Linked DNA regions of Oreochromis niloticus. The protein of the gene in region 1 purifies or fractionates together with the protein of each later gene. This does not show direct contact. Links are inferred from orthologs where the notes say so. Each region holds a gene or a part of one and is shown on either strand. Other genes may lie near its edges. The genes, in order: ndufaf1 and ndufs3.

The links.
Region 2: the proteins of ndufaf1 (region 1) and ndufs3 purify together in Homo sapiens (affinity purification with mass spectrometry; 4 studies listed by BioGRID and IntAct, counting the BioPlex papers as one, with this or other methods). This does not show direct contact. The link is inferred for Oreochromis niloticus from reciprocal best matches to the Homo sapiens genes NDUFAF1 and NDUFS3.

Annotation. Positions count from the first base shown.
Region 1 is NC_031983.2:22,114,609-22,125,979, forward strand, and holds ndufaf1 (complex I intermediate-associated protein 30, mitochondrial), read left to right. Parts: upstream 1-5,997; 5' UTR 5,998-6,142; intron 6,143-6,246; 5' UTR 6,247-6,332; intron 6,333-6,722; 5' UTR 6,723-6,935; intron 6,936-7,090; 5' UTR 7,091-7,117; coding exon 7,118-7,630; intron 7,631-7,734; coding exon 7,735-7,920; intron 7,921-8,024; coding exon 8,025-8,099; intron 8,100-8,208; coding exon 8,209-8,349; 3' UTR 8,350-8,851; downstream 8,852-11,371. Other genes in the region: RNA polymerase-associated protein RTF1 homolog, read right to left, coding at 5,674-5,757; nusap1 (nucleolar and spindle-associated protein 1), read right to left, coding at 8,852-8,939, 9,022-9,124, 9,213-9,329, 9,435-9,598, 9,940-10,106, 10,200-10,250, 10,335-10,447, 10,800-10,883 and 2 more. UniProt on the Homo sapiens protein: As part of the MCIA complex, involved in the assembly of the mitochondrial complex I.
Region 2 is NC_031965.2:1,582,546-1,594,180, forward strand, and holds the start of ndufs3 (NADH dehydrogenase [ubiquinone] iron-sulfur protein 3, mitochondrial), read left to right. Parts: upstream 1-6,106; 5' UTR 6,107-6,210; coding exon 6,211-6,265; intron 6,266-6,486; coding exon 6,487-6,552; intron 6,553-11,563; coding exon 11,564-11,635. Other genes in the region: ptpmt1 (phosphatidylglycerophosphatase and protein-tyrosine phosphatase 1), read left to right, coding at 1,284-1,364, 1,564-1,755, 4,736-4,864.

The DNA.
Region 1 (11,371 bases):
AAAAACATCTATCGTTTCATTTTACGCTATCGTTTGTTTCGTGGTGTCGCAAAATAAACTGTTTACGGCAATATTTTTTCATCGTTTTGATGGTCACTGTAGTGGCTATATTAATTTCTTAAAGTTCTCTCTTTCTCTTATATTTAATATAACCACACTACAGACGGACAAGCGCCTGTTTTTATGTGTTGTGGTTAGCAACAACGACGGTAACACCATTGCGTGTCCGTTTGTTTATGTTCCACATAAGCCTTTCACAATAAAGCTCAAGATCCTGTTGGGACTTTTCAAAATAAACTGAATCACGTGAAAGATGCAGAGTATTTACGGATGAGAAGTAAAAAAGAGCCGCCAGGTATTAAAAAATAAACCTTAGACTCAAACGTTAGAACAGGCTTTTCCCCGCAGCACGCCATGTAATAAATACAAAGAAAACGCGGCCGTTACAACTTATGTCTAAAAATGTATAGTTTCATGCATCGGTTAAAATACTCGTCTCCAGCTACATAACGCGCAGCTAGAAACACTTCCCGCAAGTCGAGCTGCCCGAGATTCACAGAATTTACAGAAAATGTTACATTTTTGTGATTTATATCGTTATCGGGACGATAGAATTCTTATATCGGGATATGAGATTTTGGTCATATCGCACAGCCCTACTACTGAATTTGTAAGCTCACTTACAAAGAACTGCATACTCTGTAATGTAGTTTCATTTTAATGAAGAGACAGAATATCAATCAAAACATCCAGAAATAACACATTACATAAATGTTATAAATGTCACTGAGTGAAATTAGTACTCGTTTAGTACTCGCCCAGCCAGAATTAAGGCTCCCACAGATTAGTACACCTGTCCACAAAATCAATTCCTTTCATTTTGACCTCACCACCACCATACGTGAGACCAAAGAGCTGTCAAGAGACGTCAGACACAAGATTGTACACCTGCACAAGGCTTGAATGGACTACAAGACCATCATCAAGAAGCTTAGCAAGAAGGTGACAACTGTTGTTGCAATTACTTAGAAATGGAAGAAATATAAAGAGACCATCAGTATTCCTTGGTCTGGAGCTCCATACAAGATTTTGCCTCATAGGGTGAGGATGATGATCATGAAAAAGGTGGTGGCATTAGATTAAAACTCCATGGGAGGAGCTGGTTAATGATCTGAAGACAGATGGGACTGCAGTCACTAGAACACCATTGGTAACAAATTACACATAATGGACTGAAACCTTTCAGTGTCCGCAAGGTCCCCCTGCTCAAGAAGGCACATATACATGCCTGTCTTATGTTTGCCACTGAACATCTAAAATGATTCACAGAAGATTTGCAGAGAACGTGCTGTGGTCAGACGAAACCAAAAATCAAGCTCTCTGTCATCAACTCAATCTGGCATGCTTGGAGTAAGACAAATGCCAAGTATGATCCAAAAAACACCTTGCCCACAGTCAAGCACGGAGGTGGAAACATTACGCTTTGTGGCTGTTTTTCTGCCAAGGGTAAAGAACATAATTGAAGAGTCATGTACCAGAAGATTTTCTGGTACCTAATATTAGTATTATAATACCTAATATCTGGTACCTAATATTAGTAATATTAGTATTACCAGAAGATTTTTCTGGTACATGAAGACTTTCTGATAAGAGACCCTTTCCCTCAGCCAGAACACTCCAGAGAGGTCGTGGATGGGTTTTCCAGCATGAATGGCCCAAAGCATACTACCAAGGCATCAGGAGTGTCTAAAAAAGCAGCAGATTAAGATAATGCAGTGGCCTAGCCAGTCTGAAAAGTGTGAAGGGAGCTGAAGCTTTGAGTTGCCAAGGAGCAGCCAAGAAAATTAAAGAACTTCTTTATAAGTGGGCAAACATACAAATTTAGCAGAGGGGTCAAAAAAAAATTATTTACCCATACTGCAGTACAAATGGACAGAATTTCTCAAGCCACTTCTCTGTAATTCATATAGTGGGACATGATCAGCAGAAGTAGAACCTTTAAATGTAATGATTAAACCCAACAAAAGCTTATTTTCCTTATTATTTAGCTTCAATCTGTTTCCCAGAAGTAAAATTACATGTGCCTTGTATTTCTCAAAACACATTCCAATGCTAGTTTGATGATTAACTTGCCTCAACTACATTTATGTAATGTTGTTATTCAAGACAACTGCTCGAACAGGACCTGATAACACACAAAAAGAAAGTGAACCTACATACTCCATTACTACAAAATGCAGAAAAAGAACAACAAAACTATGCTCTCTCTCTTTCTCTCACACACACTTGAGAGCTTTCATTAAATACAATTTCTTTCCCTGTGACTTACCGGTAATATAATGCAGGGAGGATCATGTCGGGACACTGATCAAAGATGGTTTCTCTCGTGAAGTTTACAACAGCAGCCATTTGGTTTATTCAAGGCTACAGACTATATAGAGCAGCAAGAATGTAAAGCTTGACAAAAGTGCTATATTCTCACATGGATGAAGCAAGACATTATACGGTATTTGTACTAAAGAGCAAGCAGTCTGAAGAGCATTTGCAATTCAGCTTAGAAAAACAATTGCTTTTTCACATACAGCTCCTGCAGTTTATGTCAACAAAGATTCACAGCCACAGAAATGATAGGTCGAACAGTCTTGCGTTTCACGCATGCGCAGTACTGGAACGTAAGTATTTTCGGCCGTTTCAATGTGGACGCACAACTCTGTGAAAACGACTGAAAACGATAGTTTGGACGCGGAGCGTTTTCAGACGAAAACGCAGTTTTCAAATCTATCCGGGCTAGTGTGGACATAGCCTCAGTTATACTACTATAGGTCCTCCAAAACACTGAGGTCATCTCTTTAGCTTATCATGCATTTATTCACCATTGCTGCATATCATTAACAAGTTCTCTCAGTCTTGCAGTTTCTACTTTTTACCTGTACCCAAAGAAATCCATGTACATCTGCAGTTATTGTCCTCACCAATTTGGCCAAACACATATCCATGAACTCCGAGTCTGCTTTTGTTTGAGGTCTCTTCTTGTTACAAGGGAGCTTTCCTCACCACTGTTTTGAAACGTTTGCTTTGGGGCTAATTTGAGGGTTCATCTCTATGTTAAAAGATCTATAAATTCAACTTGTAAAAGTCAAAAACCTTAACTTAAAGTTAGCTAAATTAAATTTTGCAATGAGCAGTTTCCAATTTTGGAAACTGCTGGCTCTTCAAATGAAAACTCCAATTCAATCTTTGGGAGACTCAGACCAAGTTTCTTCAGCAGCAATTATAGTCATTGTGAATGAGTTGAGTGCTTAGGGTCCATGGTGAAACTGTTAATATCCACACTGAAGTGCTCAGAAAAGGTGTTCCAGGAACCAATCTCAAAATAGCATCGCAGGAAGGAAGAAGTGGCGCAGACTGGACATGAGAAGAACGACGCCTTGGCTACAAAATAAGGTTGGTGAATTACAGGCTTATTAAATTGCCTTCTCCTACACGTTCTGGCTGTCATCACATTGTGCCACAAATTCACACACGTCTTACACATCTATTTTCTAATGCAATTACAAAACAAATTCAGTTATTTAGACCATCAGGGTAATATTGAGAAATACCAACAACACTACCATGCTGTAGACATGAATTGACGCATGCTGCTCAGATTAATGTCAGGCTTAAACAGCAGCAGAGTTGTCGTCTTTCTCCAAAACTGTGTAAACAGGCATGCATGACAATGGGTAACTATGGTTACAGAGTGACGCTGGGAAGCTCATGATTCCCAAGAAAAGATCTTAAATTATTATGCATATGCAAAATCAAGAATGAACCTCAATGCTCAATGCTAGTAATATGGATATATACTTTGTGGTATATATATACTATATACTGACTGCATTTTTTTTTTTTTTTTTTTTAAAGAAAGGCAGGCTAACACACCTGATTGCAACCTTTACAGTGTCTGATATTTCACTATAAAGACTAATTAACAACTTTAAAAAGTTGCTGTTTTCAACTGAAAATCCAAAAGATTTCTGGATTGGTTTAACCACCCAAAGTTTCAAGATCCTAGCAATGCCTCTGGTAACATTTAACACCTCATTCCTCCAATCTTCTTCTTTCACCTGCTTTCTTTAAGGTTCACCACAGTGGATCATCTGCCTTGAACTCACACTATCCCTAGAATACATGCATCTACTCCTTTACTACATCCATGAACCTCCTCTGTGGTTTCTCTTTGTCACCTGCCTCACAGATCTATATTCAACACCTTTTCTCCAATATATCCACTATCCCTCATCTGCATATTTTCAAACCATCTCTGTCTCCAAACTGCTCAATCTGAATTGTCCCTTTGATGTACTACTTTTTTTTTTCTTATCTTGGCATTTTCTGATCACTCCCAGTGAAAATCTCTGCACCAAAGTCCCCCTAACATTCATCTCTACCAACTCCACCCTGCCTGCACTCTCTTCTACACTCATTTTGTTTTGGATGGTTGACATCAGGTATTTAAACGCATGTATCTTCACTACCTCTACTCCTTGCAGCTTTGGTTACACCCATTTAACTCTCGTTCACAAACGTATTCTGCTTTGGTTCTACTGACTTTTATTCCTCATCTCTCCAGACTCGCTTCCATCTCCCAGCTCTCAATACAGATCACTATGTCATCTGCAAACATCAGTCTATTGAGACTCCTGCCTGATCTCACCTGTCAACCTGTCTATCAACACTGAGAAGAAAAAGGGGCTCAGAACAGATCTCCAATGTAATCCCACTCCCACCTTAACCCCTTTCTCCTACCACATACCTCACCACTGTCTCTGCACCAGCAACAACCTCACCTGACTTCCCTCCTGTAAGCACATCAGTTCCTCTCTTGGCACCCTATCACGTGCTTTCTCTAAATCCACAAAGACCGTGCAACTACAGAAGATAACTATATTAATCCGCACTTAACAATCGGTCAAAAAACACGCACGATCAAACCTACTGACCGTTTGAGCAACCGAAGAAGCTGGTCTTATTGACCCAGTCTGATCTTCTGTGGTCACCGTTTCTGTTTTCTCTGGGAAAGGGTCAATTACACGTGAGTTTAAAGGTGATGTGAACAGCGTTGCCAGCTCTTCAGACTGACATGTTTCTCTGCCAGGAGCAGTTTGACAACAACACCACCGAAATAGAACTTCGGCTCATGACGTCATACAGGAGATAATGTTCTGTCTAAAGCAAACGCGACTCCAGAACGGTTTCACTTTGTCAAAAAAAACAAACAAATCCCATTCCAGTTTAGTCTGAACGCTAAATCACCAATTATCCAACAGAGCACGACTGCAGTCACGCAGCTTACGGCTCGAAACCAGTCAAAGGCCCACGGCGCGGCATTTTCATGGCTACATAATACTGCATGATTGCAAGCGTTGGGTACCTTTCATAACTTAACGAGCTGGCTCTGTACAAACTCAAACACTTTCCATTTTATCCAGTACCATACGGAAACTCGTAAACGCTTAGCAGAAACCAAGCTCCATGTTAAGATTTGAGTGTTTTATCACAAAGGAAACAACGGTTGTAAATAAAATAGGCCCACTCAGCGCAATCAGCTAGCACACATTAGCTTCAGCCTCAAACTGTTGTCAACTTCAGAATCCACCGGTGGGGAAAAACGGTAAAAATAACACCTACCTGATCTAAGTTATCGTCACTAGCGCTGTCTTCCGAGTCAGAGTCAATAACGACTCGACCTTTCCGCTTCTTTACATTCACCATGATTAGCTGCAGAGCTAACCCACTTGCTACCACTGTGTCGTCTAATGTAATGCTGTCTACGATAGCCGTCGCTGCTACCTGACTAGCTCTGGAGTCAATCACACAAAGGCGGAACTGCGCATGCGCGCCAGTATAAACAGCTTGATTGACGCAAAGTGTTTAAGTGACATATAAAAGCATTTTTTGTTCTTGATCCCTCTACACTAAATAAGGAAATTCAACTAAAGAACATACTACAGAAACGGAATCGGTGGATATAAGAACATATACAGTTAGCAGAGAGAGGGAACCATATATGAGTACAGGAGTCAGGACAGTAATCTTTGATGCACGGAAGCTGTGTTCAGTGATTACCTTGTGGCTCCAGTGACATTTCTGGTCGAAGGTTTGCTGAAGGAATTTCAATTGTTTTGGGTTACCTGTTTATACTGGGACAACTTTGGGCTAGCATACACCAGCAGTCTGTATTTTTTTTCTTCCCCATATTAGAGATATGTATCATAGTGTATGATAAAACCTAACCCGAACAAGCCCTGATGTATCTACCAGACATTTGCTGCTCCATCGTAGTCAACGTAAGTGTAAACAGTTTACACTGTGTTAAGTTATTAACTGTAATTTAAAATTACTTCATGTAATTTTTTCCGGTTTCAGTAATTCCAGTATGGTTAAGCTTTTATTGATTAATTTGTGTGTTTAGACAAATATCATTCGAAGAAAATGTATCTGACAGTCATTCAAAACCAATAGCACACAATCCGTTTTAATTCTAAGGACTTGGAGGTAAAAGTGTTTATTCACCAACTGTTTAGACAGGGAAAAGAAATCATGACCTCTCCAGAAACTACTTGGAGTCAAGTGATTGAATTAAGAAATGAGAGTGGGAGTGTGGTTATAGAGATGCCCTTCCTTAATCTAGTAATTGTCTTGGTTTGAATTTCTGTCTTTTTTTTTTTTTTTTTTAGCATTGTAAAATCCTTCCAAGATAGATTGGACAGAAACTTCTTTACCATCTTTGCTAAAGTCATTTTTCATCAACATTGTGTTAACACACATCTGAATGCACCAGACCAGTAAACTGCGAAAAACTTCTGCTCAGTTTGGAAATGGACGTGAAGAAAACCCAGGAATACATAACTGAAACAAGAAGCTTTTCATTTTTCTTCATAACTATAGTTGTATGAAGTGGGACAGTTTAAATGTCCTCTATTGAATAATTATACAAAACTATATACATATTGTTTAAAGTGTGTCAGGCCATTATTTTCTTTTTGAGAAACATATTCCTGGTTATATTCATTTTGACTGTGTTACTCTGTGTTATGTATGTCAGCAGTGAAACCTGCAGATCAGCGTTGAAATGTCCCTGCTGAGGATCACACACCTCCCTTCTGGGAGGCTGCTGAGCGCCATCCTCCACCACCAGAGGCTTCTCCCCTCCATCATTCCTCTCACTGTGCCAAAAAGGGCTGTGATCCAGGGTGAATACAAACGGCCCGGCCAGCCCAGAAAGGCCAAGTTTCCCTGGAAAAAGATTAACTTTAACTTCTCAAAAGGTTTGGAGGGAATAAAGAAGCATTTCACACTCCTGAAAAAGGAGTTTACTGACCGCTGGGTTGGCCCTGAGGGTAAACCGATTGTTGAGCACATGCTGGAGCAGAACAGAGCTGTATGGGAGTTCAGAGGTCCAGAGAGCCTGGGGGAGTGGACGGTGTCCTCTGATCGTGAGATTGGAGGCCATAGTGAAGCTTACCTGAAGCTTGGAAGGAACAATAATACCTGTTTTCTGTATGGGACACTGAGCTCTACTCCCCCACGAGATGGAGAAACACGCTACAGTGGATACTGCACTATGCGCTCAAAACAGCCTCTGGTTAGTGTTCATTGCTGAATTCCTTGTTTTTGTAGGATGCAGAAGGGTCCTCCCACATTACAGTTTATGTAAATGCTAATTCCCAAGTCTTTTGTCTCTCCTAGGCTTCCTTTGATAGAAAAAAACACCATGATTGGAGCAGTTTTAACACTCTGCATTTACGTGTACGTGGTGATGGTCGCCCATGGATGATTAACATCTCAGCAGAAACATACTTCTCTCACCAGAAGGATGACATATACTGTTATTTCCTATATACCAGAGGAGGGCCCTACTGGCAGGATGTTAAGGTGAAGTTTATTAAAAAAAAATTATGTAACAAATCTTTATAGGTCTGTCTGAGAGGCATGATAGTATCAAATATGTTGATCAGCCTGAAAATGTTCTTCTGCAGATTCCTTTCTCCAAGTTCTTCCTTACACATCGAGGGAGGATACAAGATGACCAGCATCCTGTCTGGCTGGACAAGGTAGTGCAAAGAAACATTCCTCACAAAGTGATGATAAAACTGATGTATCATTACCTGAATCCCTTTTTAGCTTGTGGCCTTCATTGTTTTTTTGTATTTGTATTTACAGGTTAACACCATTGGGTTTACTTTGGGAGACAAAGCTGATGGCCCATTCCAGCTTGAAATTGATTTCATTGGTGTCTGTAAAGATTATGCACACACAGAGGAGTTTGCCTACGAAGCATACAAGAGGAACCCAGAAGTCTAAGAACTGTTAATGCTGCAATCAGACTGTTGGGACAAATTTGAACTTATATTGACACCATTTCTGTAATGTCATTACAGAATTCAAACTATTAATATTTAATGACTCATGCAGATTGTTTATTATTAAATGATGTATTAAATACCACAGGAGAACAAATAAAAAAAGAGACAAGCTCTTGGGTTAATAACTCTTTTATATGAATGCCTCAATTCTAGCAAAAGTAATAAAGCAAATGAAATTTTTAATTACAAGCTTCAAAATGCAGCAAAACAGGAAAGACTTCAATCACATCAAAATATTATTTTAAAAAAGGGATTAGAGTTGGAGGTAACTGTTTAAAAGAAATGCACAATTTGAACCTCAAAGACGCTAGAAAGTATATTTAAGCTTCTACTACTTTTCTACAAGGGGCTACAAGATGCTGCTGAAACTGAAGCTGCAGACAATGAAATATTTACACTTCAACAGGCTGTACAAACGGCCACGAGCAGGCGCAATATTTTTATGCCATGACAAGGCCTCTTCTTGCCCCAAGGATACTTTCTTTCTTCTGCTTCCGATCTTGTACTTGCTTTGCTCTGCGGCCCTCCCTAAAATAGGATTAAAGACATTCAGAGATGTTGCATGAGCAAACTGCAATGGGAGAATTTTCAGTGTTAATTAAGGACCTACCTTGACTGGACTTTGTGCTGTTTGTAAGCTTCCTGATGTGGATTTGAGATAGACTGGTTCATGGCCATGTTTTCTTTGACATCTCCAAATGGCTTCAGTTTACCTATGTATAAAATAAAAGACTCAATGCTACATCTCATCCATTCAAATAGTGTTTCACACGAACAGGGAAAATGAGAACATTTTTATACCTTTATGAGGCTTGTAGGTGAGGGGACGTGACAGACTCGCCTTCAGATCAAAGCTGGGTTTCTTGTTTGTGCCAGGCGTTGTTGAAGTGCTTGTGTTGCCAGTGAAAACAAATGGTCCTTGCAGAGTGGGGGGGGGGGGGGGGGGGGGGGAAATATCATCATCTACGATGTTTAGAGACATATACTTCAGATATCATTCAAAGGGTTGAAAGGTCAAAGTACCTGGAGTTTTTGTGGCCGAGAAAGATGCAGTTTTGACACTGCTGGGCTTTAATCCGTTGGCGGTCTGTTTCTGAGGGGTGCTGGAAGCCACGCAAGGTGACATGCGTGCAGGTGTCTTCACCAGTGACCTTTTATATTCATTGTCATGAGTAGCTTCTGAGAACCTGTATGTAGACAGTTCTCATTAAAGCATTACATTGAATACAAAACTTAAGTTTCAATGTTTTCACTTTGCAATACCACTTAAAGTTTATTTTTGCAGTTCCACTCTTGAATTCAGGTTAATCCTTTAGAATGACCCATTATTTCACCAGTGTTTGTAAACAGAGACTGCATGGCTAAGTCACAAGTTTTGTACACCTGTGTGAATGTGATTGATAACTAATGAGAAGATTAAAAGACTGTGTGGCTCAGTACTTTTGTTCATTTAAAAGGCATATTAGATCCCCTAGAAATTCATTAGATTTGTTGTATCAAAAGGCCAGAGGACAAAACGGTGACTCACCGAACATTGATCCTGCGAGTGGAAAGAACAGAAGGCCTGAAGGAGACGACCTCCTTTGCAAGAGGTTTTTTGGTGGCTGAAAGCAAAGTGTGCCTGCGGTTTCCTCCACCTGGTGTCTTGTTCACTGGGGCAGGGCTGAACATTGAAGCACGAGTTGGATTTGCCCTCTGTGGGATTATATACACATGTGCCATTAGTGTGCTTTAGAAGTAATTGATATATACATTAAATGTGGGTGACGAGTAGATGGTGATGCTTACCACTTGAGCTTTGCCATCAACTTGCAGCAGCTCAGTTTTGTCTGAAAGACTCTACAGGTAAAAAATAAAATAAAGTTCAAGTAAAAGTTAGACTTAATTTTTCCTGAATAAAAATAAGCCAAGATGATTTGGCACCTTTAGTTCCTTGACTGAATTTCTGTACGTCTCCATCTGTTTCGTCTTCCGCTGAACATAGGAATCAATGGACTCCATCTTGTTGAAATGAGCCTCATGAAGTTTTTTGAAATCTAGATAAACAAATAAAATTTATAACATTATTCAAAGATTTTGAAGTGTGTGTGTGTGTGTGTGTGTGTGTGTGGGGGTGGCACCAGTACTGTAAGTATTGTTTTGTAGTTTTTTAAAATCGATTAAGGTTTTATTTACTAAAGCAAAATAGATGTGCATCATCAACAGGAAAATGTACAGATTTCTCTGAAATTCTGAAATAAAGTAAGACAGGCTCTGCTGTACATAGCAGAGACTCCTATAAAACTTTTGCTGAATCAGGCACAAAAAGAACAATATCATGGTTAACTTAAATAAAATACTTTGTTGAAAGGGAGACAAAAAAAGGAAAGAAAAAAAAAAAAAACTTACTGGGGGTAACAGGCTTCAACAAAGGCTTACTCTTCTGCTGGAGACGAGGAATTCTACCAGCTTTTGCCCCTTTTGGTGCCTTTTCTGGACACAGACATTTAAATTTAAAATTTGTGCGAAAGTCAATGATCTTAAAATCCAATGAAGAGAACTTAAGTGTGTATCAGCTTTTATCAACTATTACTAACCTGTTTCAGCAGTCACTGGTGCTTCATCCTTAATGGCAGGCTGTAGCTGCTGCTCCTCACGGTTAGGAGTCTGGATCTTTTTAGGAGGCTCATTTTTTTCTTTATCGATTGTAGACGACACCTTTCTCTTCTTACCACCCCTGGCATTGCAGGGTGCAGTAGATGCATCAACTTCAGTGTCACCCTTAAAAAGAAAAATAATCATAAAAGGTTTTAGACCTCCAGAATGCAAAGAACTTAAACAGCTGCAAAGCAACCCTATACACAGGGATATAGAGTGCTTCAGATGTATTTATGTTGAATACAGTGTAATGTATAATACCTTTGCAGCAACTGGAGGCATCTTGGCATCGCTTTTAGTCAGTGTGGCAGTAACAGAGATTT
Region 2 (11,635 bases), on another chromosome or scaffold:
GGGGCAGCATCTCTGCTGGGGACAGGAAGAGACTGAACAGGCTGATCCGAAGGGCCAGCTCTGTTCTAGGATGCCCTCTGGACCCAGTGGAGGTGGTGAGTGACAGGAGAATGGTGGCTAAGCTGTCATCCCTGATGGACAACATCTCCCACCCCATGCATGAGACTGTGACAGCACTGAGCAGCTCCTTCAGTGGGAGACTGCGGCACCCACGGTGTGGGACGGAGAGATTTCGCAGGTCTTTCCTCCCCACTGCTGTCAGACTCCACAATAAAGACTTTTGCAGCTGATCAAACACACAAACCCACACATGTGCAATAAGACTGCTATATGTGCAATTCTTCTTCTGACGAAGTTGTGTTTTTGTATTTTCCTACTCAGTTGTATATAGTATTTGTATTTCTATTTTATTCTATTGTATATATTATTCTATTCTATTTTATTCTATTGTACATAGTATTTTATTTTATTTTATTTTATTGCATTCCAGTGTTTTCTAATTTCTGCTACATAACTTTGCACTTTTGCTGTAACAAAACAAATTTCCCACCTGTGGGACTAATAAAGGCCATCTTATCTTATCTTATCTTATCTTTTGCTACCATAACGGTACGAGTTGTATTTAACTTACCTCTACATGCTTGCGCAGGTTTGATGTGGAATTTTTAAAAGCTGCTAACTCGGTCTCTCTGGGCAAACACAGCTTACACTGCATAATAAAGCTGTTGCCTTTCTTGCACTTGAAGCCGAAATGGTCCCTTAAATACGGCCAGGGGTTCACATCCGTTTCTTCGAGTTCAGGGTCAGCAGAATTCGACGGGGCTTCTTTTTTCACTGGATCCATAACACCGATGTCAGACTCCATCTTTAACGTGACCTTAGCGCCAATTTGTTCTACTACCCATCATTCCCTGCAGTATTTCTGAAGCGCAATGTTTTTTTTTTATTTTTAATTTACTCAGTAACGGGTGTGATTGAAAACGTAGCGAACTACAATACTTTTTAAAAAATATACTTAAGTAAAAGTAAAATTACAGACTTGAAAAATGACTTTAAAAAGCACAAATACACAAAAAAACTACTCAATTACAGTAACGCAAGTAAATGTAATTTGTTACTTTCCACCTCTGCTTGTATGAAGAGCAGAGAAAGAGACTGGAAATATATTTTGTCAAGACCTCATAAAAAAATGGAATAAAGGAGAGAAAGCGTACTTAGAGCGCTGCTCTCGTGGCAGTTGCAGTTTTCAACTCAGAGCTGATGACCTGTTTTTGCTGTTGCAGCTGGTGGAAACAGAAAATGTTCGAGGGGTGATCACCATGAACGAAGAGTATGAGACCAAATATTTCTGCAACTCAGCTCAGGTGAGTTCCCTTCGTTTGAGTTCCCATTATTAAGTTGAGGTGCAGTTGAATCGTCCTGCTCATATTTGAAATGACCCTGTGCTGTCATGTATATGCAAGATAAGTTAAATACTGATGTGTGATAGAAGTTCAAACCCTAACAGTGCCAAAGAGCTGCCCCTCATACACTGTGTCATTTATTGTTGCGGCGCTGATGCAGGAGTGGCAGGCTGCTGGTGTGGAGCAGCTCAGGCTGAGCACTGTGGACCTGACTGGTGTCCCCAGCATGGAGAACCTCCACAGAGGCGTGGAGTTTGCACTGCAGCATAAAGAGCAGGGAACCAGTGTGTACGTGCACTGCAAGGCTGGACGTTCCCGGAGCGCCACATTAGCTGCCGCCTACCTCATACGGGTCAGTATGAAACTGTGAGGAGGTCGCGCTCAAACTGCCACCTGCTGTTTGCAATAGAGATGGCACGATACCACTTTTTTATGTCCGATACCGATGTCATAAATCTGAATATCTGCCGATACCGATATGAATCCGATATAGTGTGTTTTTTAATCAATAAAACTTTTTTTAATATCTTGCTGCATTTTGTATAAGTTCATACTCAAGTTTAAATAAACAACAACACTAAAGCTATTCTGTTATACCTGTATGTAAAAAATACACTGCAGCCAAAATATTTCATAGTTCAGCAACACTGATCAATCTAATAAACTTAAACCTGCTCCATCCTCCCTATTCTGGTATTTTAAAGAGTACTTAGCAGAAATATTAAGCAACCTAACTAATAGGGTTGCAAACTCCCAGCAAAAAAAAAAAAATAGGGAACCACCCCCCACCCTCCACCTCATGATGCTTAATCGACGTAATCAACTTTAATTTGATGCAGGGTGAAAAAAAATGCACAGAAATAAATTATTTTTCAAGAATAATTAAATAGATTCAACATCTTTCTTCAACAGAATTGCAGAATTCACAGATGGTACCTTCCCAAAGGAAAAAGTAGTATAGCTTACTAGGGTATATTAGACTTAACAGTTACTATATACAGTAATGGACTTCTATACATTTTACATCAGATTAAAACTTTGGGTGTAAGATTCAGATAATTATTTATTAAAAGCTCGACATTTTAAATGAGAATAAGAAAGAAAAGTATGTCTTTGTGCCCCCTTTTCCCTGTTCATGCCCTATCGGCCCCCCTGGCTAAACTTTGCTAGATCCGCCCCTGCACAGTTACCAGCCGTCAGCTACGTAGAAAAGGATCCTGGTGTAGAAAGTAATATTAAATACATTCTAACAACAGCTTATCAAGCTTAAACTTGCTGCTGTTGTTCCGCCGCTGGTTTCCTCTTTCTGGTGCAAAGTGGGCCAAAAACAAAGAAGAGAGACGGACTCGCGACAGAAAAGCCGATCAGCTGATCATTGATCAGTTTCATGATTGAAGTAGCGGCAGGAGAGGGAGAGAGAGAGAGAGAGGCAGTCGCTCCATATATCAGTTGTTAAGCTTAACGCGGGAACGCTTTACTAACATTCAGAGATGAACTTACACACTTGCTTTACTTCTCTCTGGGATAACTTCCTCGGAGATGAAATGCTGGTTTGGTAGCGAGGCTACAAATACACACAGCCGCTCTATCACATGACGCACACTGCTGTAACGTGCTACGGTTATGAGCCGAGTTACACCGTGTAGCAAGTTTTGTGAGGTGCTTTTTTGATATTTAATGGATCGGATTACATTTTTTATTTCTCTCCGATATCCGATCCAGTAATTTAGGTCAGTATCGGACCGATACCGATACGTAATATCGGATCGGTCCATCTTTAGTTTGAACTGCAGACAGCAGTTTGCACAAAAACAGAAAGTGGAGAGAAGAACATCCCACTTTTCATGGTAACGCAAGATAAAGCATAAAGGGCAGATAAAAAATAAAGACATAATTAATAAATAGAATAATAAATTCACATTTGTTATGTTGGATAATTTTGAACAAGTAAGAATAAGGCGGCAACAAATCAGGTTTTTACAGGAAAAATAATTATACTGTCATAAAATCTGAGCAGCACATAAGCACTTTTAAGTACTGTGTAATTTCCTGGTATTTTAGCAGCAAAACAAACAACATTTCCCTGTATTTACGTCATAAATACGTGTTACTTTCTGTGGAGCAGGCAATATTACAGAGTGGACTAAACATGCCTAACCTGCATGTATTTTAGAGGAAAGGAGACACAATTAGTGTATTGAGTATTGCGTAACTTATTTTAAGTCAGGGCCTCAAATTCGCGGCCCGGGGGCCACTTGAAGAAATCTCATGCAGTGTGTCCTTGAAGTTCTTTAAAAAGCTAAAAATGATTGAACATGAAGGCAGCATGAGCAGAGAGCACAAACATGCTGAGGGATGGGCTGTTAGCTCGGTGACAGAGTCACACTTATGTCTGCAGTTTATTTTGTTAAACACAAACACAATGACGGCAGCAGTGCTGCCACGCGTGTGCACAGACCGAGAGGACCAGTGTGTTTGTTTGGTGGTTCGATAAAAATCTGCGTTCATGTTTGCAGTTTTGTCTCGTTATACAATATTTGAAATTAAAAAAACAAACAAAACATTTTCAGAAATATTTGTGGTGTTTTCTTGTTTGTTTAGTTTTTTATTACTACTTGAACACAAAGTGGTCCTCCAATGAGATGACATCATTTCAGTTTCAGAGCCTGTTTTAAGTAGTGTGTAATTAGCTGGTAATTTTGCAGAAAAACAATATTTTTGATGCAGTTTTCGTGTTGATGACTGTAAATGTGGAGTGACTTAACCATCCCTTTTTACATCCTTATTTTGTTACACTGTGTACATGATGGATTTTCAGTTATTCAGTTGTTCTTTTTAACTTACAGTGTACTTAAATTACTTACACTGTAAGCTGTGTCTCCTTTCCTCTAAAATACCCGAGTCAATCCATAACACGACTCTGCGTCTCCTCCTGTGTGTTTCTCCTTCCCTGTAAAATACCCAGAAACTGGCCGAGGTTAATCCGCTTCATAATATGGCCCGCTCCCTGAACAGTACAGCATACTGCTAAATTACAATGTAATATATTTCTTTGTTTCCTCAAAAAAACAGACTTTTTACCCTCTTATTCCAGCGTACTTACCTTTAAAGTAGTGGTATGTAAATATAAACACATGGTCATTTAAAAAAAAAAACACATGCCACATTTCAGCTCAGTTTTTGACACGTTTACCTCCACATGCACTGAACCACAGAGTGTTTAAGTCAATTTTCCAGAGTGGTGATTGTATGAAACATGCTCATGGCTGATGAGTCGCTCGGGTACCAAGCGACAGGTTTGCTGTGTTGACCGTTTGCTTTCCTGGTGACAGTTACACTGCTGGACTCCAGAAGAGGCCTGTCAGAAGCTGGCATCTGTTCGACCGCACATCCTAGTACGCTCCGCTCAGCTGGAGATGCTGAGGAAGTACTACCAGCAGATGTGTGCACAGTCTAGCTGAGAGAGCGGGGCAGTGTGTTCCCGCTGGAGGTGGGAGACGGCGACTCAGAGCCTCCGTCAGAACAACCGTAACAGGAAATGCAACTGTTGCCTTTTCAGCAAGTCCTCTTTGGCATGTGTACAGCTACAGAACAGAAGATGTTATTTATCTGTTTTTTTTACTCTTTAATATAATTTTGTTGAAAGAAATTTTCCTTTTTATAATTTGATTTCCAGCCACGTTATTCTGTTTTAACTAACAAACTAAGACAAATCACTGCAGTGCGATCAACCTTTTTTCTTAAAAAAGAAAACACTCCCGTCAGAGCCGGCTGATGTCAGCTGGAGTTTAACCAACAAGATGAGAACACTGTAGTGAATAATTCAGTAATGAAGGTGTTTCTGTGTAGACTGGAAAATATTTGCTTTATATTTTTCTGCAGTGCCTCATAATGTAGAAAAATGACCATAAATAAATATTTATGACATAAAGAGTAATGGTGCTTCTTTGTTTTCAGTACTTTGGTCTTATTGGCAAGCACATATTTAAATAAAGTTGGGATGTTCCAATGTGACAGTCATCAAGAAGGTTTAATATGAGGACGGAGTCCCCGAAGCAAACAGACATGAAACATGTTCAAGTGATAATACACTGTTAGATTCTATTTCATGCAAACAAATAGAAAAATTAAATTGAAGTAAAACAAAATAAAACCTAAATCTAACTGTAGCGTGGACAAACATTTGGTCAACTTTTACTCGTAAAGTGTCCAAACGTGTCATCCTAGTAGGGTAGCTGTTTATTGGAAGACCATTTAACTTTAGCATTTAATATTAGTTTCAACTGAAACGCCGTTGGCTAACAGCAGTGACCATTTTATGCCGGACGATCTTCCTGACACAACCTTCCTCTTTAATCCAGACTTGAGAGGCCACTAGGAGTAGTTTGACTTATTGACCGCCACTGCTGTGTCCTATCATGACGCATTGTTATATAAATCGTGGTATTTTAAGCATTTGCATAGTTTGGAGCTAAAAATTACACTCGAGTGCCAAACTCAATTAATTAAATACATCTGTAAATAACTAAATGTAGCACTGATTAATTAAAATTTGAAATAATTTATTCAGTAATTACAATTTTAAATATTTAATTATATACCATTTTATTTTAAATATTTAATTAATATTTTTTTAATTAATTCATTTGGCGCTCTGTTAAAATGTGACGTTTGAATATTTCCGTTTCAGTGTACTTTCCAGGGCACCGCGCAGTCATTGAGTGACATTTGTCTTCCCGTCCACGAGGGGGCGACTGGCCGCTAATAGTCAGCTCTCGAACCGAAGAGAAAACTTGAGAGAGCCAAGATGGCGGCGTCGTTGGTACGGTTTGTCCGCGGAGGTCTCGGAAGGAGCTTTAATAGTACGTTAACTATAAATTCATATACAGGCTGTAAATTGCAGTGATTCGTTTTAGCCTGCGTCCGTTTGCATGCTACCAGTACAGTGTCGTCTTCAGCTGTCAAATGCTCCGTGTTTGACCTTCGAGCTAGCTAATGCTACCTTTAGCCAGCTCTTGTGTAGCAGTGCGGATTCACTCGTCAGTACCTCTGTGATTGATCCTTTCTGTCTGTCCCTCCTCAGTTGCGAGGACGTCGTGTCTCCTGCAGCAGCAGACCAGACTGCAGGGCTCCAGCACCGAGACCAGACGTGAGTACACACTAACTCATCCTGCAGGGTAGTGTCGCTGCACCACCGAGCTGTTTGACTTTAGGACTAATAGCTGTCAAATGTTTGGGGACCCCAGACTTAGATAGGCATTAGGATTTGTTTTTACTCAACTAGTTAACAGGACGTTACTGTGGGAGTATGGAGCAGCAAATCATAGTTTGTACCTACGGACATGGTTGCAGTGACGGGTTGTTTTTGTCCCCGGGACTAAAATTACACAGCAACGTTTTACAGCTTAAAAAAATAAGATGCTTTAAAAATATCCAGAGGATCCAAATATAGGTAACAGCACATGGAGTGGGGTCCATAACTAAAGCTGCTGTGTGATGTTATTTTGCTGATAACATTTGTCTGCTGACAGACACACAAAGCTCGACCTGTCAGATAAAGCACTAAATACATCAAATGAAAATTTAGTGTTTTCCCAGCAGTAAAAGACTTTCATGACTTTTGTGCCCGTGTCAGATGAATGAGAAAAACCTCTCTGGTACACAAAGTTGGCAACAAAGAGGCGACCCTGTGTGTATGTAGCACAGCTGCTGGCTTAGTGTGCCGCTTCTTGAAGTCTGAGCTTTGGGCTGAAACATCTGTGTTGAATCCTCCTCAGGAAGGGGAGTCCCAGTAATGACTCATGATGTTGCCTTTAGCTTTACAATCTGCTAATGAGCGGTATGACTGGCTTTGACATTTTATATTATTTGAAATGTTAAAGCTATACGTGGACTTTTAGTTACATTTGTTCATAAAGCCAGTAATAATAGTAATACATTTATAACTGTGAATATCCGGTAGCTACTATGTGAATATGACAGGAGTGGGAAACACTACCTCACCCCTGCTGCATCAACATGAAAATGACAAAATAGTCTATTTCCATAAAATATTTGTCACACAGTCATCACAATATTGAGTAAAACTTAGTTTTGGCTTCTCCTGAATATTTAAAGCCTATGGAGACATCATTGCAGTATAGAGTGTACAGTGTTTCTTCACAGCACACAGTTTACTTATACAATACAGGCCCAGTGACAACATTAACTGCCAACTTGTCAAAGCTTTTAAACAGGATAGTTGGGATAGTACCTTGTCTGAAACTAGACACCATGGTGACTAATGAAAAGTAGCATGAATCCATGAATCCAAGAGTCCAGACCTCAGAGGAAACTTGCAGGAACAAGTGCTGACCTACTGACATCAATTTTTTCAGTAACCTTGGGAGGCATCTACAGGTTGAGAAAGGCACACGCTCCTGACATCACAAGAAGCTCTGTGGGTCATTGTCAGGTCGAACTGGGATAACAGGGTTTATGAAGATCGGCTGAACCGTTGGAGCTAGCTCGTGTGCTGCAGTCAGTAAGCAAAGAGACATTCTGAAATGAATGGACACGGTTCAGATGTTCAACTTTTCACTGAAAGGTTTTCGTTGATGAAATCTTTATTTTATATTCAAAATATTTTATTTGCTTGATTTTATTTAGTAAAGTTAGGAGCACCGTCATTGACCCTGAAGTTGCTGTTATATTAGCACTGATTCCCAAACTGTCCCTCACAGTGACTTTATTATTTCAACACTGGTATCGGATCAGCGATTGGTGTTGGCAGAAATTTAAACCCAGATATTGTAATTAGGGATGCTGACCTAATTTACTGGATCGGATATCGGAGAGAAGTAAAAAATGTAATCCGATCCATTAAATAACACAAAAGCAGCTCACAAAACTTGCAACATGGTGTAACTCGGCTCATAACCGTAGCACGTTGCAGCAGTATGCGTCACCTGATAGAGCGGCTGTGTGTATTTGTAGCCTCGCTACCAAACCAGCATTTCATCTCCGAGGAAGTTATCCCAGAGAGAAGTAAAGCAAGTGTGTAAGTTCATCTCTGAATGTTTGTAAAGCGTTCCCACGTTAACCTTAACAACCGATATATGGAGCGACTGCCTCTCTCTCTCCTGTTGCTACTTCAATCGTGAAACTGCTTAATGATCAGCTGATCGGCTTTTCTGTCGTGAGTCCGTCTCTCTTCTTTGTTTTTGGCCCCTTTGCACCAGAAAGAGGAAACCAGCGGCTGAACAACAGCAGCACGTTTAAGCTTGATAAGCTGTTGTTAGAATGTATTTAATATTACTTTCTACACCAGGATCCTTTTCTACGCAGCTGACGGCTGGTAACTGTGCAGGGGCGGATCTAGCAAAGTGTAGCCAGGGGGGCCGATAGGGCATGAACAGGGAAAAGGGGGCACAAAGACATACTTTTCTTTCTTATTCTCATTTAAAATGTCGAGCTTTTAATAAATAATTATCTGAATCTTACACCCAAAGTTTTAATCTGATGTAAAATGTATAGAAGTTGTTAAGGTTCAGAAATATAGGGAAGGAAACACAGGAGGAATGCAAGTAACCACACTGGTCCAAAGAGTAAAGACGATGATTTTAATGAAAAAACACGCGTGGGAGAATGAGCGGACTCTATGAGCAGACAGCCCCACAATCTCATCCTCCAAACATCAAAATACAGTTTTATATGCATCAGAGTATATTTAGTGACGCCCCCTCATTGCGTCATCACATACATCAGCTTCAAAACCACAAATGTTCCATTTGACAACTTAAGACACAATTAAAAGTACACTGGCTTCCATCTTCTCCCCGGTGGTTTCCCGTAAGCCAGCTCAGCTCTCGCATCGTGCATCTACTGCTTCATCAGTCAACTTTCACCTACACCCTAACAGCGTGTGTGTGTATGTGTGTGTATGTCTGTCTGTGCGTGCACAGATGCTCTCTGCACCTTAGTTGACCTCAACTTAGGCAACCAGGCTAAGGCCATCCTGTGTTGTGATGATCTTGACTTATATGTAAAATGTATAAAACAACTGTTTCAATCTAACACAACTACTTACAACTTAATCAGAGATATTAATCAAAGATAAATGCATAATAAAACACCCTGCTCTTAACTTGCACTCAGACTCTGCTTTCGGTTTCACTTCCTGCAAAAGCATGTAACTTCAAAAACATATAACTTCCTGTCTTCTTTTAGCACCGAGTTACTCTTTCACCCTGCAGTCTGCATAAACATTTAAGATTATAAATTCAAAAGCATTTCGGGTTATAGATTCAACTCAACAGTTTGAAGTGGTTATAACTGGACCTGTAATAAAGGCTGATATGATACCAATATGTTTGACCATTTGAATGCAATATCAATACCTCTTGTATCAATACTTCTTGTATACATATACTTGCTATATGATTATGATGCAACAGTAATGTCAGTAATAACAGTAATAACAAAATAATAAAAATAGAATTAATAAAAATAAAATAATACATGGAAATAATAAAAATGACAAAAAATAATACTTCCTTCCCAACAAAGTCCATTACTGTATATAGTAACTGTTAAGTCTAATATACCCTAGTAAGCTATAGTACTTTTTCCTTTGGGAAGGTACCATCTGTGCAGTCTGCAATTCTGTTGAAGAAAGATGTTGAATCTATTTAATTATTCTTGAAAAATAATTTATTTCTGTACATTTTTTTTTTTCACCCTGCATCAAATTAAAGTTGATTACATCGATTAAGCATCATGAGGTGGAGGGTGGGGGGTGGTTCCCTATTTTCTTTTGCTGGGAGTTTGCAACCCTATTAGTTAGGTTGCTTAATATTTCTGCTAAGTACTCTTTAAAATACCAGAATAGGGAGGATGGAGCAGGTTTAAGTTTATTAGATTGATCAGTGTTGCTGAACTATGAAATATTTTGGGTGCAGTGTATTTTTTACACACAGGTATAACAGAATAGCTTTAGTGTTGTTGTTTATTTAAACTTGAGTATGAACTTATACAAAATGCAGCAAGATATTTAAAAAACAGTTTTATTGATTAAAAAATTGTAATCAGATTGGAAAATCTGACTCAGTGTTTCCTTAACCCTTTAAAACCGGTCGGAGCGGGCACGCTCCATTTTGCGTAACTATTTTTAAATCCCAGTAGCTCTGCAGCCACGTAAGCTAGAGCAATAATTTTTTTGCATATGAAACCGTAGGAGTTGTACTTACATCTTATTCCATTAGCTTGTCCTAGGTCACGGTTTCCTTCCACATATAGCTTTGCAAAAACTGCATAAAAAGCACTTCCAGCAACAAAAACATAATATTCCAGAAACACGCTTTGCCGATCCGATCAGCTGTTCATAACACTTCCTACGTTGGAATAGACGTTAGCGTGAACTTTCCCATGTCCGCCATTACCTGCCCGAAACCGGAAGTGACATCATTTTCGCGGAAATGTAGTTTTTTTTACTATCAGAGCCTCAAAGCCTATACTGGTGTTTTTAAAAGTTATCTTTGACTTTATGACTTTCTGTGTCATTTCTGTGATGCTTAGAACTCATATTGCACTGCTGGAAATAGTTTATTTTGATGCATATGCTGCTTTTTTGCAAATTTGCATTATAATATTTATTTTCGTTTTTCCTGTAGTATATAAAAATTGGTGTATTTCAAAAATAAAACTATGAAGACACTTCAAATAAATTTCCTGTGGTGGGAAACTAGTTTGTGCAACTTTTTTGTATTTACAGTTTTGAGGGATAAGCCTCTTAAATTTCTCTAACTAGAAATATATGTTAAAAAAACAAAAACGATTTTCAATTTTTTTGTAGTTTATTGCACATTTTTGCAATTTATGTAATTACTATGCACTTAATGCATACATATTATTAAAATTTGGGCTATAATGGTTGTATTGATGTATATCAACTTGAAATGCTCCCAAAATTGGCACTACAGCATGTAAAAATATAATATAAGCTCTGGCGGACTTGGTTCTATGGTAGGTCTTAAAGGGTTAATGCTCAGGAGAGTCCTCAGAACATCAGCGAGACAATTGGTTTGGAAAACAAATGCATATTTGCGTCTGTGACTCTGGTCAAATGTTACACAGCCTGAAGCGTCTGTCGTGGTGAATTTTGTCTCCTCTGCTCTTTGTAGCCACTGTCAGGCCCAAGGATGCTGTTGCTCACAACCAGCTGGCAGCGTTTGGGGAGTATGTGGCAGAGATGA